3 linked regions of the Sus scrofa genome follow. The protein of the gene in region 1 purifies or fractionates together with the protein of each later gene. This does not show direct contact. Links are inferred from orthologs where the notes say so. Each region holds a gene or a part of one and is shown in the gene's direction. Other genes may lie near its edges. The genes, in order: PLN, ATP2A2 and ATP2A1.

Evidence for each region.
Region 2: the proteins of PLN (region 1) and ATP2A2 purify together in Homo sapiens (affinity purification with western blotting; 4 studies listed by BioGRID). This does not show direct contact. The link is inferred for Sus scrofa from reciprocal best matches to the Homo sapiens genes PLN and ATP2A2.
Region 3: the proteins of PLN (region 1) and ATP2A1 purify together in Homo sapiens (affinity purification with western blotting, with the first as the bait; 3 studies listed by BioGRID). This does not show direct contact. The link is inferred for Sus scrofa from reciprocal best matches to the Homo sapiens genes PLN and ATP2A1.

What each region holds. Positions count from the first base shown.
Region 1 is NC_010443.5:43,445,514-43,456,297, reverse strand, and holds the end of PLN (cardiac phospholamban), read left to right. Parts: intron 1-6,283; 5' UTR 6,284-6,381; coding exon 6,382-6,540; 3' UTR 6,541-6,944; downstream 6,945-10,784. UniProt on the Homo sapiens protein: Reversibly inhibits the activity of ATP2A2/SERCA2 in cardiac sarcoplasmic reticulum by decreasing the apparent affinity of the ATPase for Ca(2+).
Region 2 is NC_010456.5:31,677,777-31,688,560, forward strand, and holds part of ATP2A2 (sarcoplasmic/endoplasmic reticulum calcium ATPase 2), read left to right. Parts: intron 1-7,248; coding exon 7,249-7,353; intron 7,354-10,784.
Region 3 is NC_010445.4:18,556,879-18,567,533, forward strand, and holds part of ATP2A1 (sarcoplasmic/endoplasmic reticulum calcium ATPase 1), read left to right. Parts: intron 1-2,368; coding exon 2,369-2,457; intron 2,458-3,017; coding exon 3,018-3,120; intron 3,121-3,375; coding exon 3,376-3,507; intron 3,508-6,385; coding exon 6,386-6,508; intron 6,509-6,636; coding exon 6,637-6,855; intron 6,856-8,049; coding exon 8,050-8,385; intron 8,386-8,863; coding exon 8,864-9,084; intron 9,085-9,190; coding exon 9,191-9,393; intron 9,394-9,584; coding exon 9,585-9,670; intron 9,671-9,765; coding exon 9,766-9,899; intron 9,900-10,032; coding exon 10,033-10,150; intron 10,151-10,293; coding exon 10,294-10,411; intron 10,412-10,655. UniProt on the Homo sapiens protein: Key regulator of striated muscle performance by acting as the major Ca(2+) ATPase responsible for the reuptake of cytosolic Ca(2+) into the sarcoplasmic reticulum.

The sequences.
Region 1 (10,784 bases):
ATCCTTGAAGACAAAACTCAAAATAATTGCACAGATTTCAAAAAACAGTAGCATGTACAATCAAATCAAAGTTTCCTTTTACATTGCTAAAATACTCATGCCTTTAATCTACTTAGCTTTGATACCTAAAAGACAGGTTAATTTCCCCTCAAAACTTTTCATAAATACCACAGTTCTATATTTTATTCCAATTTCATGTTAAAACTTTAGCTTTCCTCAATTTTATTTCTGACCTCTTCACATTCTACCATTTAAAATATTCAACCTCATTTGTTTAAAGGGGCTTGAAGAGAGAAATACTCCTTTATTTACGTTATGAAAAACACTAACTTTCATCTAAACTGTGAATTAACACAGTGGTGATCATACCAGCAAAGGAGGAAACCTAAAGGTTAGAAATCAAGGAAGTGATGCTTCCAAACTGCAGTGACCTAAATCAGATATGTAGTCTCTCTGAACATTTCTAGAAACAGTACATCACTGTTCTTACCCTACATAATTCTGAAGGATGTATGACCAAATAAACACATAAAAATGAGGCATGGGTGTAGAGCGCTTCCCCAGCACACTTGTAGTCAACTGAGGACCTCTAGTGCTTTTTAAAATGTATTCCACCTTCAGGTCTTTTTTTAAAAAAAAAAAAAAAAAAAAAAAAGGACCAACTCACATTGTGGGGAGGGAAAGGGATATTTAACTGGCACTCATTGTCCTTAAAATTTCCCCTATACTTCTTCCCCAGATGCTTTTCCTCCCAAAGAAGAATCTGAAGTCTCAACTACTAAAATGCTAAAAAGAATATTTTAATTGCAAGTAAATTTATTTTAACATGATAAACAGATAATGAAAGCAAGCCTACAACAAAATAGCAACAGCAATGTGCCAATTTCAAAGAGAAATCTCTAAGCTGCTCTTTAATGAATTTCCTTAAAGGCAGAGCTTTAAACTGAGGGAAATATTTCATTACGGGATCAATTAAGGGGTTAAAAATATGTTGACTTCTATGTTTACACAATTCTCTTCACAACCAGGCAGAAGCAGCCTGAAGATTCTTTCATATAGCCAGTGTGGACCAACAAAGCTTTGGAATGTTGCTGTCACAAAATATCTTCCAATATAACTTCCAAGTTTAGCTAGCATTAGGTAATCTCAAAAGGAAAACGATGCTACCAAAGTGAAGTTTTGGATACTAGCAGACTGATGACAAACCTACTGTCCTGACCTAATTCAACAAATCCCACCCCCCACCGCAGCGACCAAAAAGATGCATACATAATCGCTTCTGGATTATCTGCAAAAAATAACAGCAAAGAATAGGAAAAAATAAAACTCCCAAATAATCTTAATTAGATAAATCCTGTAAAATCAAGTCTACAGAGAATTCTAATCTTCTGAATCAATTTAATGGAAAGAAATTTCAAAAAGTCATCTGTCAGACTATAGTCTTGGATGTGTACTACTTGAATTTACTGGCAAAATACACGGATGTTCACTAAAATAATAAACAGACAAAAACTAAATGGAAACAAAATTCTGAATGCCACAGACAGAATCTCAGGAATTTGTTTCAACAGAAATGAACTTCAGAAAGTTCTACAAAGCCCTGAAAGTGCTTAAATTACAGGTGGGGGTTACTGCTCAGCACATACAACATCGTTAAGGTATCAATTGTCTTATCAGGTCATAAAGTGACACCAAAGTTTTCAAATGTCTAGTGAGGTTCCTTTTGCACAACAATGTCTCTGATGTTATGTTAAGAAACAGAACTCACTGCAGACAAAGTGAGGACTACTGCAGAGGCTGACAAGGTACTTCCACCCCAAATGTGCCTACCATGGCACATGATAATTACTGAGGGATTAGAGTTGCCTGTGGTTTGTCCTTCGCCTTCTTCCACTTTGAAAAACAGAATACTAGCTGGAACTTAATTGTATCTACTTCCCAATTTCACCTTTTTGAGCAAAAAAAGGAAGGGTGGACATCCAAAGGCTTTATAAATCCTACAAAGAATAGTAAAGAGTTATTCTTCCCATCCCTCTGAAAATGAGAATAATCATAGTTCCCAGAGACATACAAGATACTCTGTGAGGACTTCCTGACGTCTCCATGTCACTGGCATTTCTACAGCCAAATTCCTACCCAAGTATCTTTCATATTTTCACTATTCTGATTCTAGGGCTTGGATGGTGAATTAATTTTCGAAAAGTACCCTTACTCCTCTTATCCTAAATACCTAATTTACACATATTGCTATCCTTTTAAGAGAGGAAGATAAGGCTAATTTCAGTCTCCACTGTTTGTTTAGGCCAGACGCAGGTTCAGAACATCTCAACACAATCTATTTCTGATTACCCAAAGCAATGCTCTAAGAGATTAGATAAAATGAAAATAAAGTGAAACTATTTTTCTAGGCTCTCTATCAAATACTACTGTATTAACAGCTTGGCTCTAAGAAAGGATTAAAAAAAAAGACTGCTGAAGTTCTAAAAAAAAAAAGTTCTAAACTCATGGGATGGTTGTTGAGTGAAGAGAAAAAAAATGATAAATATCTGACAACCATGCCGTATTTTATGATGTTGTGAAGGTCAAAGACAACTCTAAAAATAGGACTGTGCTATTCCCACACACAGCTTTTGAATTCTCAACATAAGACAGGAAGCCCCATCTTTTGTATGGATGAATTTTGGCTTAATTATTATCACACAGATTTTGTAAGCTCAACAGAATTAGGGCTCCACACATTTTAGATTGTATCACTGTACAATAAATTGGGACCAATAAATTGTATGCATACAGCTAACATTTCAGCATGTAAAGCAGATTTGTTTTGGTTTTAGCACAAGGTTATAAAGTGACTACAAATCACTTTAGAATTATATTTCTAAGTCTGACGGAAAACAAGACACTATCTTTGGCTGTCTCCTTTATACTTATTTTGTCTCCAGGAACAAACTGTCCTTTTCCCACAACAGTTGGCTGTTTTTAAGTATTATGAGATCATCTAAAGTATATTCATTATAGGAGTTAACATTGTGGCTCAGCGGTAATGAACCTGATTAGTGTCCATGAGGATGCGGGTTTGATCCCTGGCCCCACTCAGTGGGTGAAGATCTGGCATTGCCCTGAGCTGTGGTATAGGTCACAGACACGGCTCGGATCCTCTGTTGCTGTGGCTGTAGCCTGGGAACTTCCATGTGCCACGTGCGTGGTCCTTAAAAAAAATTTTTTTTAATTTCAAATAAATTATATTCATTATACATTCATTATTAGAGAGCTCTTATCCTTAGTGTACCTCTTTGTAATTCACAAACACCAAGTACCCATTTGTACAAAGCTTAGGCCAGGTTAATGTTGTTAATCATTAACAACAATTTAAGTTTCAATTCCCTAAGGTAAATCCTCTAAGCCTCATTTTCCTCATCTGTAAAATAAAGAGACTTAAGAACATTGGAAACTATGTGTTTAACTATCAAATTATATTATTTAAATGGTTAATTTGTGAATCACAACACTCTGATCATTAGCAATTTTCTAAAAATATTAAAGTAAATCATAAAAATCGCTTAGTCAACTTCACTGATTTATTCAAATGGTACCAATTTTGTACTAGGTACTAGAATACAAAATAAACACATGGTTCCTTATGTTTATGAACCAGAAGTCTAGTTGGGGTCACAGGCATATAAATCAAAATTATAGCATCGCCTAATGGCCATGTTTTGATATAGGTCTACTAAAAACCAGCAGAGGTGATAATCAATTCTGCCTTAAGAAGTCATGGAAGGTTTCATCAGGAACTGAGCCTTAAAGATTAACTAAAGTTCGCCTGGCAAAGAATCAAAGGTAGAGGCAGGGGGAAGGGAGACATTCCAGGCAACGCCAGAACAACATGTGCAAAAGGCAGAATCATAAAAGGGAATGAGGTATTTATGGAAAGGTGACATGTTTCATGTGACTAAAGTACCACTCATCAGCGTCAGGATAGGGAATGACTCCTATATGTGCTTCATGATGAACAACCGGCCTGCTCTTCCTTTTCCATGTTTTATCTCAGAATAGTTTTAAAATTCAGATCTTTTATACTATTTAAGTCCTAAAACCTCACAAAAATTAAGTTTAAACAGGAATTATCAATGATTCTCTACTGCCTCCTAAACTATATTATACTTTTTGAAGTATAGTTGATTTACAGGGTTGTGATAAATTCTGCTGTGCAACAAAGTGACTCAGCCATTCATATACACACATCCATTCTCCTTCAGATTCTTTTCCCACATAGATTATCACAGACTTCCAGGTAGAGTTCTCCGTGCTATACAGCAGGTCCCTGCAAACTGTACTTAATTATACAACTCATGTAAAGAGACTAGTCAAATATATACAGTAATAAGGAAAATCCTCTTTGTAATTATCTAACAGTAAAAATTCACTGTATCTACAACAAGCAAATCCAAGCCAAAACAACTTAAAGGGTGCATTTTCTTAAAGAACAAAACTCCTTTATTTCAATAGTACTTTAAGAATTCAAACTAAAGTAATTAAATATATACCAAGCTTAAGCTGACAGTTTCTAAGGTGATAACGTTACAGATAAATTAAGTAATGGCCATGAAGAATATATGCTAGAGAAACATAAGCTGTACCAACTCTTTGAAAGAATGACGTCTAGTTCGTTGTTCGGATCTCCTCACCACAGGTCAATACCATGAAAGAGACCAGAGTCCCCAGAGAAATGAAAGCTCAGTCCAATATATAATTCAAATCTTAATACAGCCAAATTGAAGCACTGAAACTACAAAATCTAACGACCATATACCACATGGTTTCTTTGTAACAAAAATTGGGAAGTTCTGACTGACCAGCCTGATACATATCTTCTTTCTCATTCTTTCAGTTCTTCCCTCTGCTATCTTTAGCACTAGTCTCTCTCAGAAACAGAACTATAGGTTGAGATGGGTTTTCTTGAGATGTGAAGCCACTAGGGAAAAAATGAAATTAGGCAGCTGGAGTAAGGTGGTAAAATCTTAATTAGCAGTGATATATCAACAAATGTTAATAACAGTTATCTCTGGGTAGTTAATAATGGTTATTTTTAAAATTTCATTTCCAACTTTTCTTGTTTCAAAATTCACATTAGAAGTATCCTTAATGACAACAAAACATCTCCAAAAGTTAACTGTTACTATCTCTGGGCAGTTAATTTATGGCTAATTTTTAATCTATATCCAATTTTCTACAATGATGCATTAAGTCCTGGGTTTTTTTATTAGCACAGATAATTATCAGGCACCAATTAATCAGATGGTTTTGTAGAAGAGCTTGTGGGAGCTCTGAAAGAATGCAAATGGAAACGCTGTTCTTAAGTACAGGTCCTCTGAAAATAACAATTATCTGTGGTAGATAGGAAGACAATGACAGTTTTATTTACTATGCCTTCTGAGTCTGAAAATCTTCAGTACTTAATACGGTCTTATTAAAATGTTACTTTAAATAGCATATCCAAAAAGCTATAAAACTGTAAAAAGGAATGGCAAACATTTCAATCTATAATTCTGATAAAATACTTCCCATTTAATGATTTTATTTTGGACTGAAATCAACATCCAGAGAAAATTTATTACATGTATTTCTTTTATATGTATATTTGCTAAATTTATTAGTAAAATGAATAGAAAACATTCATAATTTGATTTCTTCTTAAAAAATTATCTGTGATTGCTTCAGAAAATCTATACTAAAATCTCAAAACATGTAGATGTGAATAAATGTAAACTCTTCAAATGCGCTTTATTTTTACATCTTATTCCAGAAATGCTCAGAAATAAAAAGAATATCTCTTTGAAACAGTATCTAATGTCATACTTAAATGCACTCATTTCTTTTTATTAGATTGCTCTGGAGCCATTAATACACTAATGTTCACAACAATTATGCTCATAGAGAAACGGTCTTAATGAAACTGTATGTAAGAACTTGCCTAAGGGAACAGCCCAAAACAAGCTGCCCCCTAAACTAAACTATACATCTAGTCATTCTGAGAGAAGGAGGCAAGAACTGAAGTTACTGCACTCCAAACAGAAAACATCATTGTGACCATAACCAAAAAAGACAGGTTCTCAGAAAGAGACAGGCAGATGGACAAAGCCACACATAGACTATTGAGATACTGGATGTCATAAATACAAATAATGTAGAGAATGAGGGATTACACAAAACTGTTTTACCTGTTCAGAAAATAAGTTATTATACATATGATCCTAATCCATCTACTATTTTTACATTCCAGGCTGCCTAAAAGAAGACAGTGATCTCATATTTGGCTGGTAGCTTTTTCAGCTTTCTCTTGACGGCTTAAAACTTCAGGCTTCCTGCCTTCCTGGTATCATGGATAAAGTCCAATACCTCACTCGCTCTGCTATTAGAAGAGCTTCAACCATTGAAATGCCTCAACAAGCACGTCAAAACCTTCAGAACCTATTTATCAATTTCTGTCTCATCTTAATATGCCTCTTGCTGATTTGCATCATCGTGATGCTTCTCTGAAGTTCTGCCACAATCTCCAGTGCTACAATTTATCACCATCAGCTTAAAATCTGTCATCCCATGAAGAAGGGAAACAATACTATATAAGAGACCACTTCCTCAGCAGAAAGTTCTTTATGAAAAGGTCAAGATTTGGAATGAAACAAATTGTTAGCAAATGTATTCATCTGCTGGATCTTGTAAACATGAAAAGGGCTTTATTTTCAGAAACTAACTTTAAAATGACTATAAGTGTGCATAATGCAACTGTTGATTTTCTCAACAGAGCTTATAAATTTCTATCCCAAATCTTTTCTGAGGATGAACTAGGGGTTTAGTTTGGAAACTGCACTGCTAACTAGTTCACGTCATATATAAAGCATTAGCTTCACTCTTTGGGGTAAATATAATTTATACTGTACTGTAAAAGCCTCTTTGATGTTTATTAAGTATTTTTCAGGTCTTCACCAAGTGTACCAAAATAATCATTCAAATGAACTATCATTTGAAATAGCCCACTGACTCCTCACATCTGCTGTCTTTATTATCATCACACAGAATCTCTAGTGGTATCAGAACCTACATTCTAAAAGAGAACTTGTATTCTTTTCTCTATACTACACTAATATTTTAAAAAATTTATGAGAATCAAGTAGGAAAAAGACCATATCCTTACATAAACAAAATTTCTCTTAACCATTTTTCTCAAAGAATTATAGAATTCTAGTACATATAGGTAAAACTATAAATCTGTTCTCTATACACAAGAACTGCTGGTTAATTTAACATGTGACATTGTGATTAGCCATAATTACTAATACACTAATAGAATAGAATCTACCTTAATTTAAGGCACAATAGATAATTATCTGAGTTAGAACACATAACTTGCCACACTTTATCTCTGGAATCATGAAATCTTAAGAAGACATTAGAGTGATTTTATAGGTTACCTTCTATTCTAATTTCACCCACAATGTAGACAAGGGAAAGAATAAAAAATATTATTTCAAGCATTAAAAATAAAATTTGAAATATCTCTCCAGAATTAACAAATTCTTTGATTAAATTTTGAAACGAACTTTTGTCATTACTGTTCATGATAGGATATAGCTATTTTCCTTAATCTAACAACCAAATGGTAAACACCTATTTGGTAGGCCACTGTACTATGCTAAATTACAGATACAGCTATGCTAATCTACAATTATTTTTTTGCTAAATACATTTCCAATTTTCCCTCTGATCATTTAAAAATAACTTCCAACAATTCATAAAACAAAAGAAGTAAAAAAACTGGTTTGGGAAATACATTCACCAAAATTTAGTGAATTAAATTGAGTCAGTTTAAAACTGAGTCTAAAATGGTTTACATCTATACTGTATAATTCAATAATTTTAAGTTCAAGATATATAAGCAATATAATAATTATTGGGGAAGTAGAGAATGTGCAATTTATTATACGGTTTGCTAAAGTATGGTTACTAAAAGAATTGGAAAAGTCAATATTGACCTTGGTTTTCAACATAAGTGCTGCTAACAAAGGAAATAATGCTTTTAAGTTTTTTCTGAATCCCTGGATGGATGAGGATAATTTTGGATTGCTGATATTTAAGGAACAGAGGGAAAAGGGGTTTCACACTGATAGAGGGATTTCTTGAGCAAAGCCTCATCTATGGGTTGAAAATCCTATTAGCAACTAGAAGAGTTTATAAGCAATAAATGAGACAACTGCTTTACTGGTGGCAGTAATTCCCCATGTAAAAAGTAACCAATTCTATAATTAGTGTAATGACCTTAAAATAAATGGAAAATTTGAAATAATAAGTTCTACCCTTTTCATTACATTGCTCATTACAATATCAACTTAAAGCTATAAACTGTGAAAGTTATGGAGTTTTCCCTAAGTCAAACAGAAATAGTTTTTTTTGTTTTTGTTTTTCATTCTGCCTTTAATAGAAATTAAAACCTTACACTTGAGAATTACAGAATACTATAACTCAGATTATACTGTAAAATAAAACCTATTCTTTAGATGGAACTTATTCTGTTTACCAGGATGTATAAAGAGTAAAATACAATAAACTATGTATTTAAAAAATTTTAAATACCAAATGCGCAAATACTTTCTACTATAGAATAAATCCTAATATTACTGTGCAGGGTACCAACTATGAGCTAATTTTAAATGTTTAATGTCGCCTTCTACGTTTTATTTGGTTCAAAATGTTTATTTAACGCAAATCACCTACATTAAAAAGAAACTTCCTGAACCCAGTGAATTCACTCATGATTGATATGACCATAAAACAATCTAATTATAAGCAGTTTTGATTTTGTAGGCTGTTTTCTGTGACTTTTCCCTAAATAAAATAAGATCAGGATTTCCTAGTACAGACACAAGAGGGCAGACCTACATAAATTAATGAATTTCCTACTACATAGAAATTACATATCCTTGGATTACTTCTGAGTCTTCTGGCAAAGTGAGAAAATTTCAAAAAAAGTTAAGCTTTTCTGCTAAGTAACAGCACTTAAAAATGTCTAAAAATTATATACTAATACTATATAGAAAAGATGACATTAAAAAAGTTAAACATTAATGATTTTATTAAAACATGTTTTAAAAAATCAATTCTATGCTTTTTAGTTACCTAGTTAATGTATCATAATGTCATATCCTATCTATTGACAGTGTCACAGTGTCCACACCTTTCAATGCAGTTATGCTATATTATCTTAAACAGTAAAAAAAATCAATTAATTAAAAACAACACAGGGTGCAAAAATAAAAATAAGAAAACTTTCTTTTCAGAGGATGTAGTAGTATACATAAACTACCCTCACATTAAAAATAGAACCTTTTCAAATTGAAACTACAATGAGGTACCAACTCACACCAGTCAGAATGGCCATCATTAGTAAATCCACAAAAAATAAATGCTGAAGAGGGGGTGGAGAAAAGGGAACCCTCCTAAACTGCTGGTGGGAATGTAAATTGGTATAACTACTATGGAAAGAAGTATGGAGGTTCCTCAGAAAATTAAATATAGAACTACCCTATGATCCAGCAATCCCACTCCTAGGCATACATTCAGACAAAACTTCCACTGAAAAAGATACATGCACCTCTATGTTCATAGCAGCACTACGCACAATAGCCAAGACATGGAAACAATCTAAATGTCATTGACAGATGAATGGATTAAGACGTGGGACATGTATACAACGGAAAACTACCCAGCCATTAAAAAGAATGGAATAATGCTATTTGCAGCAACATGGATGCAACCAGAAATTCTCACACTAAGTCAGTCATAAAGAGAAAGAAAAACAGTATATGATATCACGTACATGTGGAATATCAAATGTGGCACAAATTAATCTATTTACAAAACAGAAAGAGACTCACAGACATAGAGGACAGACTTGTGGTTGCCAAGGGGGTGGAGGGACTGTGAGTTTGGGGTGAGTAGATACAAACTATTACATTTAGAATAGATAAGCAATGAGGTTCTACCATATAACACAGGGAACTAGATCCAGTCTCCTAGGATAGACAATGATAGAAGATAATATAAGAAAGGGAATGTGTACATATATATACGACTGGGTCACTTTGTTGCACAGCAGAAATTGGCACAACTCTATAAATCAACTATACTTTAATAAAAAAATAAACACTTTTTCATCCTTATGTCATGTTAGACGAAAACCAAGTCATTTAAGTCCTTCTACCAAATATTTATATTTTTGCTGTATGTAAGAGAAATCTTCCAGCAAAATATGTTGAAATCATTAGGTGCTAATAATATCCCGGCTGATCAAGGCCTTCCATGATTTAAATAAGCATAAAATTTTATCTTCCTATTTTAATGACTGCAACTCAGAACTCAGAAACATCCTATGGAATATGAAAAAAAAAAGAACTTCTTTGTAAATAAAGAGCCCAGTTCTTCACTCCTGGCTGGGAGATCCACTGTGAGCTTATAGGGATCCAATGGATACTCTTTGTGTGCAGAAATAGGCACCTTCCATTCCCTTCCTCCCCCAAGCCCCCACAAAAAAAAAAAAAAAAAAAAAAAAAAAAAAAAAAGGACATGCAAGAGGGGCCTGGAAAGGGAAATATTCTTTTCAAAGAGAAGACAAGACTTTGCTGTTTTTCTCTTTTGTCATAGTCCTTAAAAGTCAGACAGCTTTGGGAGAGGGTGGGAAAAGAACAGGTAATACAGAACAGAGGAAAGAACCAAAGACTTTTGGTGGA
Region 2 (10,784 bases), on another chromosome or scaffold:
GTGTTACAACATCAGTGGCATTATTTCCAGCAGACAAGCTATTGACTCTTTGGGTTGTATAGAAGCTCTTGAGTCAAGGCCAGTTTGAGTGATTTTATATTAATATTTTGAGATAATTACGTGATTTTTTTTTAAATTTTAAAGTAAGGAGCTTATAGTTTCTAGGCATTTTCAAGTGGGTTTTTAAATAAATGCTTTAATTTTGTTTTAAGGTAGGATGTTGGCTTTTTTAGCTTTATAGAGCTATATTTTGGAGTTGAAATTTGAGTTACCGTTTTGGTCACTATGCGGAGTTAACTGCTTAGGAAATGAAATATGTTACATTTTTATTTTGTGGGTTGCTAAATAGAAAAGTTTTAACTTTTATTGTTTAGGAAGTACACTTAATTTGCTTTGATTTATTTGATCAGGAAATTGTAGATATAAAACTTGTTTCTTTGATTTTCTTCATGTGGGGTTGGCACTATGGCTACATTGGACTTGACCTTTTCATTCCTCATTTCTTTATCTTTTAACAGAGCGCCAAGTCTTTTTTTATGGTAGTCGGTTTATTCCTATTCACTTAATAGGAAAAACGTGATAAAATAGGCATGTCCTTTTGGAGAATCAAATAGGCAGTTTTTATAATCTGTACACGAGGCACAAGAGGTTCTGCTCAAGTTAAGAAATACTAGGCTTTAGTGATTTATTTCAAATTCAAACAAGGTAGTAAACTGTTAACCATAGTTAATATTTTGCTGTGGCAGAAAGTAGGAAACAGCTTTAATGTTTTACACCTGTGACCTGTTGGGATGACGTTTAATTAACTTGTAATATTCACTGAAATAGGGTTGGGTTTTTTGTTCTTTTAAGGTCACTTGGATTGGAAGAAGTGAGCTAGATATTGCCATAGTTATTAAGTAATAGTAGAAATTCCTTAATTTGGTTTTCAGGACCTTCCTATCCTTTCACTTTGTCTTTCCTTGTTGGTCACCTTTGCCCTTCGTATAACACATCATGTGGTTGCTTAATTGGAATGCCTGTTCTTTTTTTTCTCTCTTCACTGCTTTGTTGGGTATTGAGCACCTCAGGTGCATGGCATGCATGCCCACTGGGAATACAGCATCAGTCAAAACAGACAACATCTCTTAACCTGGAGCTGATATTCTAGTGGAGACAAAAAAGTAAAATGTATAATAATCTGTTGGATTGGAGATAGTGCTCTGAGAAAAGTTAAGTGGAGAAGGAGGGTGGTGGTGGAATAGGGACAAATGGTGAAGGAGTACAGTTGTCAAATGGGACAGCCAGGAAAGGCATCTGAGGTGACATTTACTTGAAGAAAGTGAGCTCAAGGACCATATTTGTCTTATTTGTCTGAATCATGATCCTCTGTGGCAATGCAACTTGTGCGAGTTTCGCTACCCTCCACCCCCATTTCCCTACCTCAGCTATTCAGATTAACCCTAAAATACTAATAAAACTTTCCTAGACCAAGACACTTCTGAACTTTCGCTTACATTTGAATAATTTGTCTTTTCTTTCCACTGTACTCTTTGAACGGATTCTTAATTCCTTTTAGAGCCTAGGTTAGTGCTTTTGATATAACAAACATCTGGATGAGTTTGCGTCTGGCATTTTCGAAATACTGACAATCGTTTACTTTGGTTTTCTCAGATATTTTTGAGTATTTAATAATGTAGTGATTTTAAATTTTTCCTGTGTTTACTTTTAATTTATTTTAAAGGATAAAATGGGCAGTTAACTGGTTTATATAGAGCCTTTCTTTAAAATGTAATTTGGGGAGTTCCCATAGTGGCTCAGCAGAAATGAATCTGACTAGCAACCATGGAGGATGCGGGTTCAATCCCTGGACTTGCTCAGTGAGTAAAACGATCCGGCGTTGCTGCGAGCTCTGGTGTAGGTCACAGACGTGGCTTGGATCCTGCATTGCTGTGGTGTAGGCCAGCAGCTGTAGTGCCAGTTCAGCCCCCTAGCCCGGGAACTTCCATATGCCTTGGTTGCAGCCCTACAGAGCAAAAATATAATAATAATAAAATATAGTTTCGATGGTGAATGTGTATGGGGTTTTTTGGTTTGTTTTAAATTAAATTATATTCTCAAATCTGAAACACAAGCTTAGACATATGCTTTGTTTCTGGATCAGAAGAGAACGTATAGTCTAATTCATACTTTTCTTTTTTTAATAGCTGAAAGAATTTTTGTTTCTCAACCCAGAAAATTGCCATAACACTTACTGGTGGTATTTTTCTTGTGAAGTGTAATTTCTGCTTCCTCTTTTGAAAAAAATTTTTGATGTAAATTTTTTGTGTGTGTGTTTGAGTGCAAAGGCATTGCAAATTTTCTAAGGATACAAGGGGGGAATGCATACCTTATACATGTTTTAAGATCCTCGATCTTAAGAATGTACTTATGACCTCTCATATTCTTCTTATGGTCTTAAGAGCTCAGGACATTATCCTGACATGGAGATAACTGAGTCACGGTACCATGACTCTCTCCTAGTTTACACCAGAATAGGCCTTTTTACCTTGGATAAATTTTTTTTAATTCATTAAACTCAACTCCCTAGCATTTTTTGGCTGTACTGTCAGACGTTATCCTGATGTACAGAGATCAGTGTTAGGATAGGGTATCCTCTAATTATCATCTCTATCTGAAATAACCTAGCAAGTGGTTACTTTGAATAGGATTGACAAATTTGAAGTTTTGAACTTGCTGGATAATGTAAGCCCCAGAAGTACTGTTACTTTCTGTATTAACTATAAAGCAAAGAAAGAAAGAAACAATGTTTATGCCTAAAATTATACTGTAGTAGCCTTTCCTTCTACTTCTTTTTGAAATTGTTGAAGTTGGTTACCTTTTTGCTCTCTTAATGCTTAAGTTCGCATACTCCAGGTAGGGACTTAAACCTTAGACATTGTATGAGATTTTGTTTCATGCATTCATGCTTCAATTCAGTAAATGTATAGTGAGCATTAGTTAGGTACCAGATACTCTTCTAGGCCCCTGGGGATAGATTAGTAAACAAAAGGAAATACAAACAGATAATCCTTTATATTCAGCCTGCCCCCAATTTTTTTTAGAAACGTTCTTCCCTTCTTGTGTATTTTTTATAACTTCTAGTAAACCATAATTATGAACTGACTATAAATAAATGTTAATAAGACATAAAAAAAAAGAAGTTCCCCTCGTGGCGCAGTGGTTAACGAATATGACTAGGAACCATGAGGCTGTGGGTTCGATCCTTGGCCTTGCTCAGTGGGTTAACGATCCGGCGTTGCCATGAGCTGTGGTGTAGGTTGCAGATGCGGCTTGGATCTGGCGTTGCTTTGGCTGTGGTATAGGCCAGCAGCTACAGCTCCGATTTAGACCCCTAGCCTGGGAACCTCCATTATGCTGTGGGAGCAGTCCTAGAAAAAGGCCAAAAAAAAAAAACAAAAAAAAAAAAACCCAACATGTCACTCATCCAGTTTCCCTCATTTCTATTTACCCTTTCCCCATCTCATGGAGTCCTTTGAGGGGGGGTGCACCCACAGCATATGGAAGTTCCCAGGTTAGGGGTCAGATCAGTGCTGTAACTGCTGGCCACAGCCACAGCAACACCAGATATAAGCCATGTCTTCCACCTACACCACCACAACGCAGCTCATGGCAACAGCACCAGATCCTTAACCCACTGAGCGAGGCCAGGGATTGAACCTGCATCCTCATGGTTACTAGTCCGGTTCATTACCATTGTGCCACAACGGGAACTCGTGGAGTCTTTTGTTTGTCAGCATCATCTTCCCATTTACCCAAGAGAGGTTTTCTTTTCAGTAGGACAAAACCATGAAGGATTGTACAATGTGGTTTGAACATAATTCACTGGATTCGTTCTTAGCAGTAAGTGAAGTACAGTTGATCTTCAATTTGAGTTGTAGCATTTAATTCTTAAGGTTATTTGTGAGGTTTTGGGTTTTTTGTTTGTTTTTTATGGATGCACACACAGCACATGGACGTTCTCAGGCCAGGGACTGAATCCAAGCCACAGCTACAGCAGCGCTGGATCCTTTAACCCCCTGTGCCTTGCTGGGGATCAAACCTGAACCTCCACAGGGACCCGACCCACTGCAGTTGGATTCTTAACCAACTGCACCACAGCGGGAACTTGCATTTGTGGGTTTAAATATAGATAATTTTTGGAGTTCCCTAATGATCTCATGGTTAAGGATTTGGCCTTGTCACTGCTGTGGCTGGAGTTCTGTCCCAGGTCTGAGAACTTTTGTATGCTATGGGTGTGGCAAAAAAAAAAATTTGTTTTTATTTGTTTGTTTGTTTACTTTTTAGGGCTGCACCTGTGGCATGTGGAAGTTCCCAGGCTAGGGGTTGAGTTGGAGCTGCAGCTGCCAGCCTGCACCACAGCCACAGCAACATTGGATCTGAACTTTGCCCCCTACACCACAGCTTACAGCAATGTTGGGTCCTTAACCCACTGAGCGAGACCGGGAAGTGAACCCTCATCCTCATGGATACTAGTTGGGTTCATAATCCGATGATCCACAATGGGAATTCCAAGAAAAGGATTCTTCTTCTTTTTTTTTTTTTCCTGTCTTTTGTCTTTTGAGGGCCGCACCTGCAGCATATGGAGGTTCCCAGGCTAGGGGTCTAATCAGAGCTGTAGCTGCCCACCTACACCACAGCCATGCTAGATCCGAGCCATGTCTGCGACCTACGCCACAGCTCATGGAGGTGCTGGATCCTTAACCCACTGAGCGAGGCCAGGGATCGAACCCTCAACCTCATGGTTCCTAGTCAGATTTATTTCCATTGCACCATGATGGAAACTCCAGAAAAGGATTTTTTTTTTTTTTTTTTTTTTTTTTTTTTTTGGTCTTTCCTGGGGCCGCACTCGCAGCATATGTAGGTTCCCAGGCTAGGGGTTTAAGCAGAGGTGTAGCCGCCGACCTACACCACAGCCACAGCAACACCCAACCCTAGCCGCATCTTCCACCTACACCTCACAGCAACGCTGGATCCTTAACCTAATGAGCAAGGCCAGGGATCAAACCCACAACCTCATGGTTCCTAGTTGGATTCATTAACCCCTGTGCCACGATGGGAACTCCAGAAAAGGATGTTTTTTAAAGTAGTTAGAAAATTACTAGTTGTCAGTGTTTAATAGGTTCAGTTCTATCCTTCCAGGCTGAGAGATTTGTCCTCTAGTATCTCATCAAGCAGTAACTATACATTCAGTAATTCTACAGAACCTTCAAATAACTATGCATTCCTGTGTTTCTTACACATACACATTTTAAAATTCATATTGGAGGAGTTTTCCATTGTGACGAAGTGAGTTAAGAATCTGGTGTTGTGTGGTATAGGTCCCAGCTTTGGCTGAGATTTGATCCCTGTCCCTGAGAATTTGCTGCAAATGCAGCCAAAATAACAATAATGATAATAATGCAGTGGAAGAAAAGTCTACTACATTGTGCAGGTGAGGGTTATTGCATTATTGATGAATACCACTTGTGCAGATGAACCACACATTTCATGAAAAGTAGAGGTTTGCTTTGGTAATCCTGTCATGCTTGCCTTAGTCTTTTCCTTTGCTCTAGCTGGTAGGGGATATTGCTTTAAGTTTGTTCCTCAGGCTCAGCTGCCAAGAGGGAAATTCATACCCACTTTAACAAGGTGTGAAGCTTATCTTACAGTTGCTAATGCCTCACTGACCTTTTGAAAAGGTCTTAGTTATTCTTCAAGTTGAGCAATTTTTCTCCCCCAAGAGCTAATTAAGTTTCTTATTTCTGATATGCTCTCCTTGGCAAATATTTGGAAGGCTAGTGTCAAAGCAGCTGTGATCTTGCATCTATCAGTATTTATAACTTCCTAGAGAAGTTTTTATTCTGGCATTAGGCCTAGCCTTAACACCAGGAATGCCCTGTTGAAAGCTTTGAGCAACATTTATATTCATTCTGGTTTTCTGCCTGCCCTGGTTCATTAGCTGTTAGCAGTGATTGGCATCTATCAGGACCTAGTTCTTGTGTTTCCTGGTTTTTCTCCTGCTTAAATTGATCTTTCTTGTGTTGGTGGTATAGTCGTGAGCATACCTGCCCTCCAAGTTGATATTTCTTGTTAATTTATCATTATTCTCTTTTACTTCCAAAATTCAGGTTGGGCCTTGCCTTAATCATCTTTCTGGTTTGCTGTTTGTGTCAAAGCTCACTTTATAGTATTCTACTAAGTATAAAAGTAGTCAGATGGCTTCATTATTATTATAAATCATATCTGACAATATTAAAGAGTATCAAAAATGGTGCTTCCATTGTTTACTGAATAGATCTTTTAAAATATTTTATTGTGAAATATGCAAACATCCAAAGCAATGTTAAAAGGCAGAGGCACACACATCTTACCTCTCAGGTTGAATCCATTAGATATGTTTAACGTCTTTTCTGGATTGGCAGTTTCCCACAAAAATTGGTTGTTGAAATTTTAACCATTTATATGCCTCTTTTAACATGTTTTTTATTATTTTCAGATACACCGTGTTAAATTCTTTCTCACAATCTTAGGCTTGCTCAGTTATGAAGTACAGTGTGACTCTCAACTTGTAGCTTTTAAATCTGAAAGTTACAGTTGTGTGAGTTAGAAGTTAATTCTTTGTTCATTTTTCTTGGGACAGTGTTCTGGGCCCAGTTGTAACATTTTGGGGCTTTTATATCCTGAACTGTTGTATTGATACACTAGATGTCATAACCTTCAAGAGAGATTCCTGATCACAGAACAACCTTGCAGTAACACCACTGAAAATAAGTGGGACATTAACAGTTTATATATCTAATTTTGAGTCAATGGTCAAATTGTTTTTGCTATGAATTTATGCCATGTGAGCATTTATTTGATAGGAATGTTAATCAAATTAACAAAATTTGATTGCTTTTTACTTTAACAAAATCAGGAATGTTTTCTTTATACACATATAAAATGAATGGGGTTTAGTTCCCCAAAAGTACTTGTTTAGGATTTTAAAACAATTATTACATTAAAAAAGGCTCTTAAGGATATTATTAAGAAGTTTATAGTTTTGAGTCTTAAGAATTATTAGGAAAAAGATATGTGTTGTTTATGTCATTACATTTTGCTACCATTTGTTTCTAAGGATGGTAAGAAAAGAGATTTTTTTATCTTGTAATTGTTTCATGCCGGCCACTTTTGTTGTAAAAGCCTAAGAACATACCACAATTCTAATGTGTGCCATTTCTCTTACAGGTTTTGGCTTGGTTTGAAGAAGGCGAAGAAACAATTACAGCCTTTGTAGAACCCTTTGTAATTTTACTTATATTAGTAGCCAATGCAATTGTGGGTGTATGGCAGGTAAGAAAAGTTCCTTCAATGCTAAATTTTGATAATATGTAAGTATTTAAACTTTGTTAGTCTTTCTGTTATCTGTTTTTCCTGCTATGTTGACTAAAAATATCTGTGGAACTAGATGTGGTTTTTTTGCCTATTAGTTTATGTAGTGTCAGTTTTATCCCTCTCATGCATACATACTTTGCTGTTAAAATTGCTTATCCTTCATGGCAGCATGAAGTGGATGAGAGAAGCTACCTGGGTAAAATCAGAAAATTTGAGAACCAGTAGCTCCCATTGTGGCACAGCGGAAACGAATCCCACTAGGAAACATGAGGTTGTGAGTTCGATCCCTGGCCTCGCTCAAAGGGTTAAGGATTTGGTGTTGCTGTGGTGTAGGCCGGCGGCTGTAGCTCTGATTAGACCCCTAGCCTGGGAACTTCTTCCGTATGCCACAGGTGTGGCCCCAAAAAGACCAAAAAAAAAGAAAAAAGAAAATTTGAGAAGCATCATTTCTCTTTATGTTTCCTATGGAAGAACTTCACAAAGTCAGTATCGTTTTTATTGTCCATGAATTGTGTGGATGTGTGTGGATTTAGTTAAAAAATTAAGTCTTAAATTGTTTTACCTTCAAAGAATACTCTTGGTTGTTTTCCCTAAATTGCCCAGTGCCCAGACCTTTATTACTCACAGAATGGAAGCTAATTTTACTGCAGAAATACAACAGGATCATACCCCTGCCTCACATTCACATGATTGGTCTTCTGCAGATAGCTAGTTTGAGAATTTAGCTTTGCTAGGATTGTTCTATTGATTTGTTTGATGTTTGTTTTTGATATATTTTAACAGATTCAGTAATATGTCACATTCATTTTAAGTATTCATCTTTTAGGGTTTGATGGATATGTTCACTTCTTCTGGGACTAAAATCTCGTGCATCTGTCAGTCTTAGGGAAAACATCAACATACTTAGTCCTATTGGAATTGGAAACTTCTGATGTTATTAGTGAATGCGAAGGCCTTTATGTGGTGGGCTCATTTATGAGGATACCTACTTAGAAGAAAACTTTAATTGAACTGTATTCCTTACTTTGATTTTTTTAATTGCTTTTATTTAAGTAGAAATGATCTTTTTCTGAATAATTTAGGCAAAAGAAACAATACACAGCATTAGATTGTCCTTCTCAGTGTCCTATGCAGTTTTTAATTCGTTTATGTTAGTTACATGGTGCATGCTTTGTATACATTCCTATTTCATGTTTACAGTAATTTTCTTTTTTTTTTTTTAATTTTTTGTTCTCTTTATTTATTTATTTATTGTCTTTTTGCCTTTTCTAGGGCCACTCCCGTGGCATATGGAGATTCCCAGGCTCGGGGGTCTAATTGGAGCCATAGCCACCGGCCTACAACAGAGCCACAGCAACACGGGATCCGAGCCGTGTCTGCAACCTACACCACAGCTCACGGCAACGCCGGATCCTTAACCCACTGAACAAGGCCAGGGATCGAACCCACAGCCTCATGGTTCCTAGTCTAATTTGCTAACCACTGAGCCATGACGGGAACTCCTACAGTGATTTTCTAAAGCAGATGATATTACCATTTGACAGATGTGACATTGAGGTTCAGAGTGATGAATGTATCAAAGGACGTACAGGGAGTACATACATACACAGAGTATCTGGGATTTGCATCCAGGGCAGGCTGATCTGAATTCAGAAGTGAAATTTTAAAGCAGTTTTCACAAGACTTTTATGTTTGTCTTAGCTTGAAGAAAAGAATAACATTCTTATATCTTAATCCTGTTTACATAATATACAGAATGATATGATCAATACCAGAGGGTTCTTGCTTTCTGGAGGTAAGGAAACTTAAAAGTGTAAAGTGAGGAGTTAACGGGTCCGACTGGGAACCATGAGGTTTCAGGTTTGATCCCTGGCCTTGCTCAGTGGGTTGTGGTGTGGGTTGCAGACGCGGCTCGAATCTGGCGTTGTTGTGGCTCTGGTGTAGGCTAGTGGCTGCGGCTCAGATTGGACCCCTAGCCTGGGAACCTCCATGTGCCACGGGGGCAGCTCAAGAAAAGGCAAAAAGACACACACACAAAAAAGTGTAAAGTGATATTGGCGGCAGGGGGAAAGCTGACAAGCGATTGGGAGAACTATAGAGAAATGGTAGTTTTGTGGGTGGAGGCTGGGGAGGATATTCTAGAGAGGGGGTGGCATGAGCAGAAAGGTACAAAGTGTGTTTGAGGAATGACATTTTAGACCTATTTGGGTTTGAGTGAAGGAGGTAGGAGTTATAGCTTTTAGAACAAAGGAAACCTTAGAAGGTCTTCTAAGTAAGATGTACTTGTTTGTAGTAAGATACTTGTTTTTCCCCAAGCAGACTTTTTTGATGTAATCTATTTGAATCTATGATTATTTATCCCTTTTCACCCCTATACTGTAAATATTCCTTTTGATAGTTGGGGGGGTGCTTATTTTTGTTTCTCTCCTCTCTCGGCTGCACTCATGGCATCTGGAAGTATCTGGGCCACGAATTGAATCTGAGCTGCATCCTTGACTTATACCACAGCCTCGGCAATGCCAGATCCTTAACCCACTGCGCTGGGTTGGGGAACTTGAGGGGTGGGGTGGGGAGGGGCTTTTTAAAACTGATTTTAGTTGGCATCTTTGTCCTTGAGGTCTGAGATAATTTATCTTAATTTTATGCTTTTAATTTAAATGTACATTTGCCAATTTTTAGTAGAAGCAAAATGCAGTGCTCCGGGACATCATTTTTTTTTTTTTTTTTTTTTTGAAGTGTAGTTGATTTACAGTGTCGTGTTAATTTCTGCTGTATAGAAAAGTGATTCAGTTATACATATATATACTTCTTCATATTCTTTTCCATTATGGTTTATCGCAGGGTATTGAATATTGTTCTCTGTGCTATACAATAGGACCTTATTTGTATCCAGCCTATGTTTAATAGTTTACATCTGTTAATCCCAAACTCTCAATCCATCTCTCTCCCACCCCTCCCTCTTGGCAACCTCAAGTCTGTTCTCTGTGTCTAGGAGTCTGTTTCTGTTTTGTGGATAAATTCATTTGTACCATATTCTAAATCCCACATATAAGTGGTATCACATGGTATTTGTCTTTCTCTTTCTGACTTTATCTAGTATGATAATCTCTAGGTCCATCCATGTTGCTGCAAATGGCATTATTTTGTTCTTTATGGCTGAATGGTAGTCCACTGTATATATGTACTACATCTTTATCTGTTCATCTGTTATTGGACACTTAAGTTGCTTCCGTGTCTTGGCTGTTATAAATAGTGCTGCTATGAACATAGGGGTACATGTATATTTTTCTTTTTCGACAGTGATAAAATACATTTTTATTTACTTTGTGGAGTCAGGGAATTTTGGGGAAAAAAAAATTATTGCTAAAGTAGGTATCAGGCAGACAGGT
Region 3 (10,655 bases), on another chromosome or scaffold:
CCAGTCTGATTCTTAGCCCACTGAGCCACAACGGGAACTCCTTAACCAGGGCTGTTCATCTTTCAGTGCTTTGGCGCCTTTGGCCATCCGGACCTCTACATTTCATATATTTAATGTATAACCTAAAACTCTCAGGATTCTCTTTTTAAATGACATCAGAAACCCATGATCGAAATACCAGCCATTGGAGTTCCTGTCGTGGCGCAGTGGTTAACGAATCCAACTAGGAACCATAAGGTTGCAGGTTCGATCCCTGCCCTTGCTCAATGGGTTAATGATCCAGCGTTGCCATGAGCTGTGGTGTAGGTTGCAGACGCGGCTCGGATCCCGCGTTGCTGTGGCTCGGGCGTAGGCTGGTGGCTACAGCTCCGATTCGACCCCTAGCCTGGGAACTCCATATGCCATGAGAGCGGCCCAAGAAAATGGCAAAAAGACAAAAAAAAAAAAAAGAAAAGAAAGAAATACCAGCCATCGAAATAATTTAAAAAGAGACCTGTGACTTGTGCGTTATGCTTCTTTATTAATGCAGTAAGTGGCAAGTCCAGCCGTGGAGCTCAGAATTGCCATAACGCTAAAGCTGCGATGAGCGTAAATGCTATTTTGAGAGCTCTGCAACCATGCAACGTGAGAGGAGACTATGTGTGATTATATTGGTGGCCAAGTCACAGGTTTTGCTAATACTAATGTGGTCCATTGTCCACATTCATAAAGTGGGAGGAAATGTTTACTGTCAGAGAGAAAAGACAAGGTGTCATTTTTTTTTTTTTTTTTTTTTTTTGTCTTTTGTCCTTTTAGGCCCGCCCCTGCAGCATATGGAGGTTCCCAGGTTAGGGGTCGAATTGGAGCTACAGCTGCCGGCCTACAGCACAGCCACAGCCCAATGCCAGATCCAAGCCGTGTCTTCGACCTACACCACAGCTCACGGCAACCCCGGATCCTTAACCCACTGAGCGAGGCCAGGGATCGAACCTGCCACCTCATGGTTCCTAATTGGATTCGTTTCCACTGCGCCACGACAGGAACTCCTCATTTTTGTTTGGCCGTCAAAGTTTACAGATCCCTTGGTCCAGTGCGGGGAGGGGGTGGGGGATCCTCCATGGACCCCAGGCAAAGAGCCTTGCCCTAAACAGACTTTGGGGGACTTTTATCCGATGAATAGAAACTGCTGTTCTGAGAATCAGGGGCTGTGCTGTCAGATCAGGCCAAGAAAGGATGTACCCCTGGGGAGACCCCCATGCCTCTTGGCATTTGAAAGCCTCAGGGAAGGCTGACCCTTCATAGAGAGGGTGGATTTCACTTTGTTTAACCCAGAGTTTCCCCAAATGACCTGGCCGCAGAAGCCTTTTGTCTTGGAACACGTCCTAAGGCCCCACACCTGCTCTGGTTCAGAGGGCTGCTCCCCTCTGCGTGGTGCGATCAACATCCCTCCAAAGCATTGGCTTCAAAGCCAGACTCCTAGGCTCCTGTCATGTTTCATAGGAATCAATGAATCACCCACATTTGAAACGTCAAGTGATTGCATAGGAAAATAACCAGAATTTCTAGTTCTTCCTACAAAACTGGAAGATCTGGGCACAGAGGCTGGGGCTGTAGATGGGCCATGTGCTCACAGGTGGACTGGTGGCCACAGTCCCCACTACGCCTTATGGTGCACGTCTTACTTTACCAGCTGACCTGATGGAACCTCCAGCAGGACCTGCAGTAACATTTTTTTGTGTGTGTGTATCTGTGTGTGTCTTTTTACGGCCATGCCCACGGCATATGGCAGTTCCCAGGATAGAGGTCCAATCGGTGAGGTAACCGCTGGCCTACACCACAGCCACAGCTACTCAGGATCTGAGCTGGGTTTGTGACCTACACCGCAGCTCATGGCAACACCGGATCCTTAACCCACTTAGCAAGGCCAGGGATTGAACCCACATTGTTACGGATGCTAGTCAGATTTGTTTCCACTGAGCCATGACAGGAACTCTGAAATAGGTCTTCCTTTTTTTTTTTTTTTTTTTTTTTTTTTAGGGCTGTACCCGAGGCCTGTGGAAGTTCCCAGGCCACAGCTGCCAGCCTATGCCACAGCCACAGCAACGCCAGATCCTTGACCCACTGAGCGAGGCCAGGGCTCGAACCTTGACCTGCAGTAACTTTTGAGGCCACTCGCACAGGGGAGACTAATTGCAGGGGTGCGGTGGGAAAGGGGAGGGTGCAGGAGGAAAAGGGAAGGACCAGTGGGGGGATGAGGGTGGGAAGTTGGCTAAGTCCGCGCAGAGGGCCGGACAGAGGCGCGCTCGGGGCTCGGGCCTCCCCAGGCTGCAGCCTGCCTTCAAGGATGGGCACAGTTAGACCTCCGCGTGCCTGCCCTTCTCTTCTGCAGATGTTTGTCATCGACAAGGTGGAAGGGGACATCTGCCTTCTGAACGAGTTCTCCATCACCGGCTCCACTTACGCTCCAGAAGGAGAGGTGTAAGTGCCCCCAGAGTCATCATCCTCATCCCAGTTCCTCGTGCCCCTCCCCCTCACACATACACCTCCTCTTTGTTGGGGGTTGGGGGGCGCCTCCCTCTAGTTTGTTTGGTTTTTTTTTTTTTTTTTGGTTTTTTAGGGCCGCATCCGCGGCCTATGGAGATTCCCAGGCTAGGGGTTGAATCGGAGCTGTAGCCACCAGCCTACAGCACAGCCACAGGCACACGGGATCCAAGCTGTGTCTGCGACCTACCCCACAGCTCACGGCAACGCCGGATCCTTAACCCACTGAGCGAGGCCGGGGATCGAACCCGCAACCTCATGGTTCCTAGTCAGATTCGTTTCCATGGCGCCCCCATGAGAACGCCCAGACTCCCTCTAGTTTGCCTTCCTGTTTCTCTCCTGTTCCTTCCCTGACCTCCTTCTCTCTCCCACTTATCTCCCAATGGGTGGCCATCTCCCGCACCGTCCCTGGTGGCGCTCCCTGGGTTCTCTCTGCATCTCATTCCCTCTCTTCTCCACCTGTCTCTTTCCCTTCCTTCCCCCGGCCCTGCCGCCAGCTTGAAGAATGATAAGCCAGTCCGGGCAGGGCAGTATGATGGCCTGGTGGAGCTGGCCACCATTTGTGCCCTCTGCAATGACTCCTCCTTGGACTTCAACGAGGTAACCTCTCCTCTCTGCTCCCGAGGCCGCCCCTCCTTCCCCCTCCAGCTGCCTCCGCATCCAGGCCTCCTCCGCAGGCCACAAGGCAGGGGGCAGGGGAAAGGTGTCCTTTGCACCAAGCCCTCTCCTGGGTGTCAGGGGACGACGGCGGCTGGCTCCCTTCCCCTTCTAGGTGGAAGGCGGGCGATGGGGTGGGATCGAGGGGCCAGGAGGACCCCGGGCATTTACATCCTCTTCTTCCTCTGCCCTCTCCAGGCCAAAGGTGTGTATGAGAAGGTGGGTGAGGCCACTGAGACAGCGCTCACCACCCTGGTGGAGAAGATGAACGTATTCAATACCGACGTGAGAAACCTCTCGAAGGTGGAGAGGGCCAACGCCTGCAACTCGGTGAGTCTGGGCTCCCTCCTCCCTGCAGGCCTTCTCCACCCCCACGCTGCCCAGGCCAGGACCTAAGGAACTTCAGGAAACACCACCCCTTTCCCCTGCACCCATCTGGCCCCAGCATAGGCAGGCGGCCTCTCCAGTGTGCTCCTTGGCTGACTTTGTGTTGGCTCCTACCCCTGCACCTGTACTGCTCTTCCTGGGGCCCAGCTGCAGCAGCCCTGAATGAATGGAAGATGACTTTTCCAGGAGTTCCCGTTGTGGCTCAGTGGGTTAAAAACCCGACTAGTATCCATGAGGCAGGTTCAGTCCCTGGCCTCACTCAATAGGTTAAGGATGCAGCATGGGCGCAAGCTGCAGCGTAGGTTACAAATGCGTCTTGGGAGTTCCCGGCAAGGCTCATGGGTTAGCAAACCCAACGAGCATCCATGAGGACGCAGGTTCAATCCCTGGCCTTGCTCAGTGGGTTAAGGATCCAATGTTGCCATGAGCTGTGGTGTAGGTCAGAGGCGTAGCTCGGATCTGGCGTTGCTGTGGCTGTGGTGTAAGTTGGCGGCTTCAGCTCCCATTGGACCCCTAGCCTGGGAACTTCCATATGCCGCAGGTGCAGCCCTCAAAAGACAAAAGACAAAAAAAAAAAACAAAAAACAAAAAACAAAAACAACCAAATGTGTCTTGAATCTGGTGTTGCAATGGCTGTGGTGTAGGCTAGCAGCTGCAGCCCTAATTCAATCCCTAGCCTGGCAACTTCCATATGCTGGGCATGTGTGGCCCTAAAAAAAAAATAAATAAAAAAGAGTATTCCTATCTGGCGTTGCCGTGAGCTGTGGTGTAGATTGCACGTGCAGCTCGGATCCTGCATTGCTGTGGCTCTGGCATAGGCTGGCGGCTACAGCTCTGATCAGACCCCTAGCCTGGAACCTCCAAATGCCATGGGTGTGGCCCTAGAAAAGGCCAAAAAAAAAAAAAAAAGGAGTATTCCTGTTGGTTCCCTCATTGAAAGGGATGGAGGATGGAGCTGGACACAGAAACCACAAGTGACCCATCCTGGAGCAGCCCCAGTTTCAACTCTGACCCGTAGAAACACACTTGAAACTAGAAATACACTTGTGTTTGGTGTTTTTTTTTTGACTTTTTTGCAATTTCTCTGGCCGCTCCTGTGGCATATGGAAGTTCCCAGGCTAGGGGTCGAATGGGAGCCGTAACCACCGGCCTACACCAGAGAAAACACACTTGTTTTGATCAGATCTCAAGACCTGATGTGGGATTTGGGAAATGTGACTGTTGCACATGCCTCTGCGTTCCCTTATTCCGATGAACAAGCTCAGTTCTGAATGTGACTATCTCCCTAAGTTTTTGCTACTAATATTTTTGAATGTCCATACTAAACCCCTTTGGGGTTTACCTTATATTCTCCACATTGCTCATTCCTTTTTCTTTTTGGTATATGCAAGATGCTCATTGCTGCTTTGTTTAATGAAACAAAAACAATGAAAATAACTTAAATATCTATCACTAAAGGATTCTTTTTTTTTTTTTTGTCTTTTTGCCATTTCTTGGGCCGCTCCCACGGCATATGGAGGTTCCCAGGCTAGGGGTCGAATCAGAGCTGTAGCCGCAGGCCTACGCCAGAACCATAGCAATGCAGATCCGAGCTGCGTCTGCAAACCTACACCTCAGCTCACGGCAACGCCGGATCCTTAACCCACTGAGCAAGGCCAAGGATCGAACCCTCAACCTCATGGTTCCTAGTCGGATTCGTTAACCACTGTGTCACGACGGGAACTCCAAGGATTCATTTTTAAAATTTACAAATAATATAAACATTACCTTATTTTTTAATTTTTATTTTTTTTGCACCTGTGGCATATGGAAGTTCCCAGGCCAGGGGTTGTGTCAAAGCTTCAGGTACAGGCCTGCACCACAGCCACAGCACCATGGCTTCGAGCTGCATCTGTGACCTACCCTGGGGCTGTGGCCACAGAGGATCCTTAACCTATTGAGCGAGGCCAGGGATCGAATCTGCATCCTCATGGATCCTAGTGAAGTTCTTAATCTGCTGAGCCACAGTGGGAACTCCCACCTTATTTTTATTTATTGTTTTTGTTTTATTTTGTGGAGAAACATCCAGCATACATTTGGTACATTCATCTTTATGGAGTGTTTATTACTGCGTACCAGGCACCAGGTCCATGGTTTAACAACCCCCGTCTGTAGAAGCATACCCGTGATTGTTTACATTTAAGTTATTTAATAAAAGTAAAAACTCACTTTTCCTGGGCTCCATACACCATATTGGACCATCCAGAATATTAAAACATCCCACCACGGATGGTTCTACTGGACAGTACCATGTTACATCATCCTGTTTCTTTCTTTCTTTCTTTTGCTTTTGAGGGCCATACTCACAGCATATGGAGGCTGGGGTCAAATCAGTTACAGCCGCCAGCCTACACCACAGCCACAGCAATGCAGGATCCGAACCACAACTGTGACCCACACCACAGCTCACAGTAACGCCGGATCCTTAACCCACTGAGCAAGGCCAGGGATCGAACCTGCGTCCTCATGGATCCTAGTCAGATTCGCTTCCACTGAGCCACGACAGGAACTCCACATCCTTCTGTTTCTATTGTGCTTTTAATTGGACACCGTAAGACAGTGACAGCCAGCCCTAGCCTTGGAATGTTCTTCATTTCTGCTGTAGGTGCCAGACTTAGCTTTATCTCAGACTTAACTTGGGGTCCACTCTGACCTCCGGATCCTTTTCGACTGTGTTTGAAGGGGTCTGGAACTCTTCCCTTCCAACACAGCATCATTGCTCTTTCCCCACCGGTCTCATGTCTCATGTCTGGCCTCTCCCTCCCTGTCTCCACTCTCCCAGGTGATTCGCCAGCTAATGAAGAAGGAATTCACACTGGAGTTCTCCCGGGACAGAAAGTCCATGTCCGTCTATTGCTCTCCAGCTAAATCCCGGGCTGCTGTGGGCAACAAGATGTTTGTCAAGGTCAGAAATCCGAGCGTGCCTCGGACCCCCCCTTCCTCCTAACCCCAAACCCCTGTCTTATCCCTGCTCCCCCGACACTGTGCGCTCGAAGGCACGTAGTCTCTGAGGACTGTGTCCCGTTCTCCCAGGGCGCTCCCGAGGGGGTCATCGAGCGCTGTAACTACGTGCGGGTTGGTACCACCCGGGTGCCGATGACAGGGCCGGTGAAGGAGAGGATTCTGTCGGTGATCAAGGAGTGGGGCACTGGCCGGGACACCCTGCGCTGCCTGGCCCTGGCCACCCGCGACACCCCCCCAAAGCGAGAGGACATGGTCCTGGATGACTCTGCCAGGTTCATGGAGTACGAGGTGAGCACATGGAAGCCTCCCGAGGCCTCCGAGGCACCCGCCTCACCCCCTCCACCAGCACCCCTGTCATTTCCTCCTTTGAGTCACAGGCCGTTTGAGTTTGAAAGAACTTTAGGCATCACCTAGTCCAGGGCTACTTTGTGTGTGGTCCGTAGACCTGTCTGAGATGAAGGGAGGTGCTCGTGCCAGGATGGAAGTCAGCCATGTGACTAGGTGCCGCTGCTGTGTTTCCACAGTGAGGTTTTCTCTTTTTTGTCTTTTTTTTTTTTTTTTTTTTGCCTTTTCTAGGGCAGCACCCGCGGCATATGGAGGTTCCCGGGCTAGGGGTCTAATTGGAACTGTAGCCACCGGCCTACACCACAACCACAGCAACAAGGGATCCGAGCTGTGTCTGTGACCTACACCACAGCTCACGGCAATGCCGGATCCTTAACCCACTGAGCAAGGCCAGGGATCGAACCCAAAACCTCATGGTTCCTAATCGGATTCGTTAACCACTGCACCACGACGGGAACTCTGACAGTGAGGTTTTCTTAAGACACGCATTGGGGAGTTCCCCTTGTGGCTCAGCGGTAATGAACCCAGATTAGCATCCATGAGGACACGGGTTATCTTTGGCCTGGCTCAATGGGTTAAGGATCTAACATTGCCGTGAGCTGTGATATCGGTCGCAGATGTGGCTTGGATGCCACATTGCTGTGGCTGTGGGGTAGGCTGGGCACCTCCTAGCCTGGGCACCTCCATATGCCTCGGGTACAGCCCTAAAAAAAAGCCAAAAAAAGGAAAGAAATAGTTGCATCGACCTTCTGGCACCAGCTCTTTATCTCGTAGTGGACCTGCTCTCTGCAGAGCACCAAAGTCCACATTTTATAGAAGCAGCAGTATGGCCTGACAGTGACATAGATTGGCTCAAAGGTGTAGACCAAGGGAGTGGCCTTGTTGGAAGCAGAAACCACCTCCCCCACTTCCAGCTCGAGTTCTTTCTATGAAAGACCCGCTCTGCCACCTGTGACGGGCCTGGTGCCGCCAGGCCTGCAGGTCTATCTGTGAACAAGGCACATTTGCTGCCCTCGTTCGAAGCCCCACTGAAGCTTGAACACCTGGCCCAGGGACAGCTTCCCCCCCACCCACCCCCGCTGCCCCAGCTCCCCCAGCCTTCCTCCCCCACCCTGTCGCTCTCCGCTCCCTCCCCAGACGGACCTGACATTCGTGGGTGTGGTGGGCATGCTGGACCCGCCCCGCAAGGAGGTCACGGGCTCCATCCAGCTGTGCCGCGATGCTGGCATCCGGGTGATCATGATCACAGGGGACAACAAGGGCACGGCCATTGCCATCTGCCGACGAATTGGCATCTTTGGGGAGAACGAGGATGTGGCCGACCGAGCCTACACTGGACGGGAGTTCGACGACCTGCCCCTGCCTGAGCAGCGGGAGGCCTGCCGGCGCGCCTGCTGCTTCGCCCGCGTGGAGCCCTCCCACAAGTCCAAGATCGTGGAGTATCTGCAGTCCTATGATGAGATCACGGCCATGGTGAGAAAACCGGAGTACATGGGGGTCTGGCGTGGGGTGGTCTGCTTAGTGTCCGGAGAGCTGACCGCCTTGGGGAGCTGGGGACCCCGGGAGGACAGGCCTGAGCAGGGGCCTTAGCAAGGGGCACAGAGAGGAAGGATTCGGTTCTGATGAAAAGTCTCGGGAGTTCCCATCATGACTCAGTGGTTAATGAATCCGACTAGGAACCATGAAGTTGCGGGTTCGATCTCTGGCCTTGCTCAGTGGGTGAAGGATCTGGCATTGCCGTGAGCTGTGGTGTGGGTCACAGACATGGCTCGGATCCCACGTTGCTGTGGCTCTGGCATAGGCCGGCGGCTACAGATCCGATTAGACCCTAGCCTGGGAATCTCCATATGCTGTGGGAGCAGCCCTAGAAAAGGCAAAAAGACAAAAAAAGAAGCGTCTTAAGTGGGATTTGCGGAAGGGGCTGCGTCCCACCTTCTCTCTCTCCCCACAGACAGGTGACGGTGTCAATGACGCCCCCGCCCTGAAGAAGGCCGAGATCGGCATTGCCATGGGATCCGGCACTGCCGTGGCCAAGACAGCCTCCGAGATGGTGCTGGCGGACGACAACTTCTCCACCATCGTGGCCGCGGTGGAGGAGGGCCGCGCCATCTACAACAACATGAAGCAGTTCATCCGCTACCTCATCTCTTCCAACGTGGGCGAGGTGGTCTGGTGAGCAGCTGGGCCGGCCATCCAGGAGGAACCCGGGGCTGGTGGAGGGAGGGGTGACCGCAGGCCCGGGATCCAGGACAGACATGTGACCGCCTCCTTCTGGCAGCATCTTCCTGACAGCTGCCCTGGGGCTGCCTGAGGCCTTGATCCCCGTGCAGCTGCTGTGGGTGAACCTGGTGACGGACGGGCTCCCGGCCACAGCCTTGGGCTTCAACCCTCCAGACCTCGACATCATGGACCGGCCCCCCCGGAGCCCCAAAGAGCCCCTCATCAGTGGCTGGCTCTTCTTCCGCTACATGGCAATTGGGGGTGAGCCGGATGGGACCCCACGCTCCTTCCCAGCCCTGGGGACGATCGCCTCTGTGGGACACCAGCCTGTCCACCGCAGCCACCTTGGCAGGGGGGGGGGCTCTTCCTCCACCAGCTGTCCACGAGGCCCTCTCGACTCCTCCCATCCCCCCAGCCCTGCCCCCCCAACTCCCATCTTCTCTCCACCACAGGCTACGTGGGTGCAGCCACTGTGGGGGCAGCAGCCTGGTGGTTCCTGTACGCTGACGATGGCCCTCATGTCACCTACAGCCAGCTGGTAGGGCAGGGCAGAGGAGGGAGTGGGGGGAGCGGGGGGGGGGGTGGTTGGGAGGCTCCTGCAAGGACCCCAGCTCACCCTCCCTCCCCCTGCAGACTCACTTCATGAAGTGCGGAGAGCACAACCCCGACTTTGAGGGTGTGGACTGTGAGGTCTTCGAGGCCCCCCAGCCCATGACCATGGCCTTGTCTGTGCTGGTCACCATCGAGATGTGCAATGCTCTCAACAGGTGGGCCCCCACCCCCTCGCCTCCTGAAGGCCACGCCCTCTGTCCTGCGGGGGCCCTCCTCTCCCTGCTCACCCCATCTCTCTCCTCGTGTCTCCACCCCCGGCCCCATCCCACCTCCCCTCCGACCCCGCAGCCTGTCTGAGAACCAGTCCCTCATGCGGATGCCGCCCTGGGTCAACATCTGGCTGGTGGGCTCCATCGGCCTCTCCATGTCCCTCCACTTCCTCATCCTGTACGTGGACCCTCTGCCGGTGAGCCTCCTTCCAGCCAGGGTGGCCTGCTCCCCACCCACACGGGCCCCTCCGCAGGGGTCCGCGCCCAGAGGTGCTGCCCGAGGGGGGGGGCTGGGGGTCCTCCGGCTCCTCCTCACTGGCTCCTTCCCGCCTCCTCCCAGATGATCTTCAAGCTCCAGGCCCTGGACCTGGCCCACTGGCTCATGGTTCTTAAGATTTCCTTACCAGTCATCGGGCTCGACGAGATCCTCAAGTTCGTTGCGCGGAACTATCTAGAGGGTGAGAGACTCCCCTCCTGGGAACCCTGGCAGCCGCCCCCCCCATCCCAACCCAGGCCCTGAGCACAGCCCCCACCCCCACTCTGCGCTGCGAAGGCGCCTGCCCCCCCTTGCTTTTCAGGTGGGCGAGTTTCCGCCCAGCAGGCCCACCCAGGTCCCCCCGACCTCCCTCCGAGCCCAGGGCAGACCTGGTCTCCTTGGCGCTCCCACCGCCTCCTCCCCTGGGTAACCGGCTGTCTCTCTGT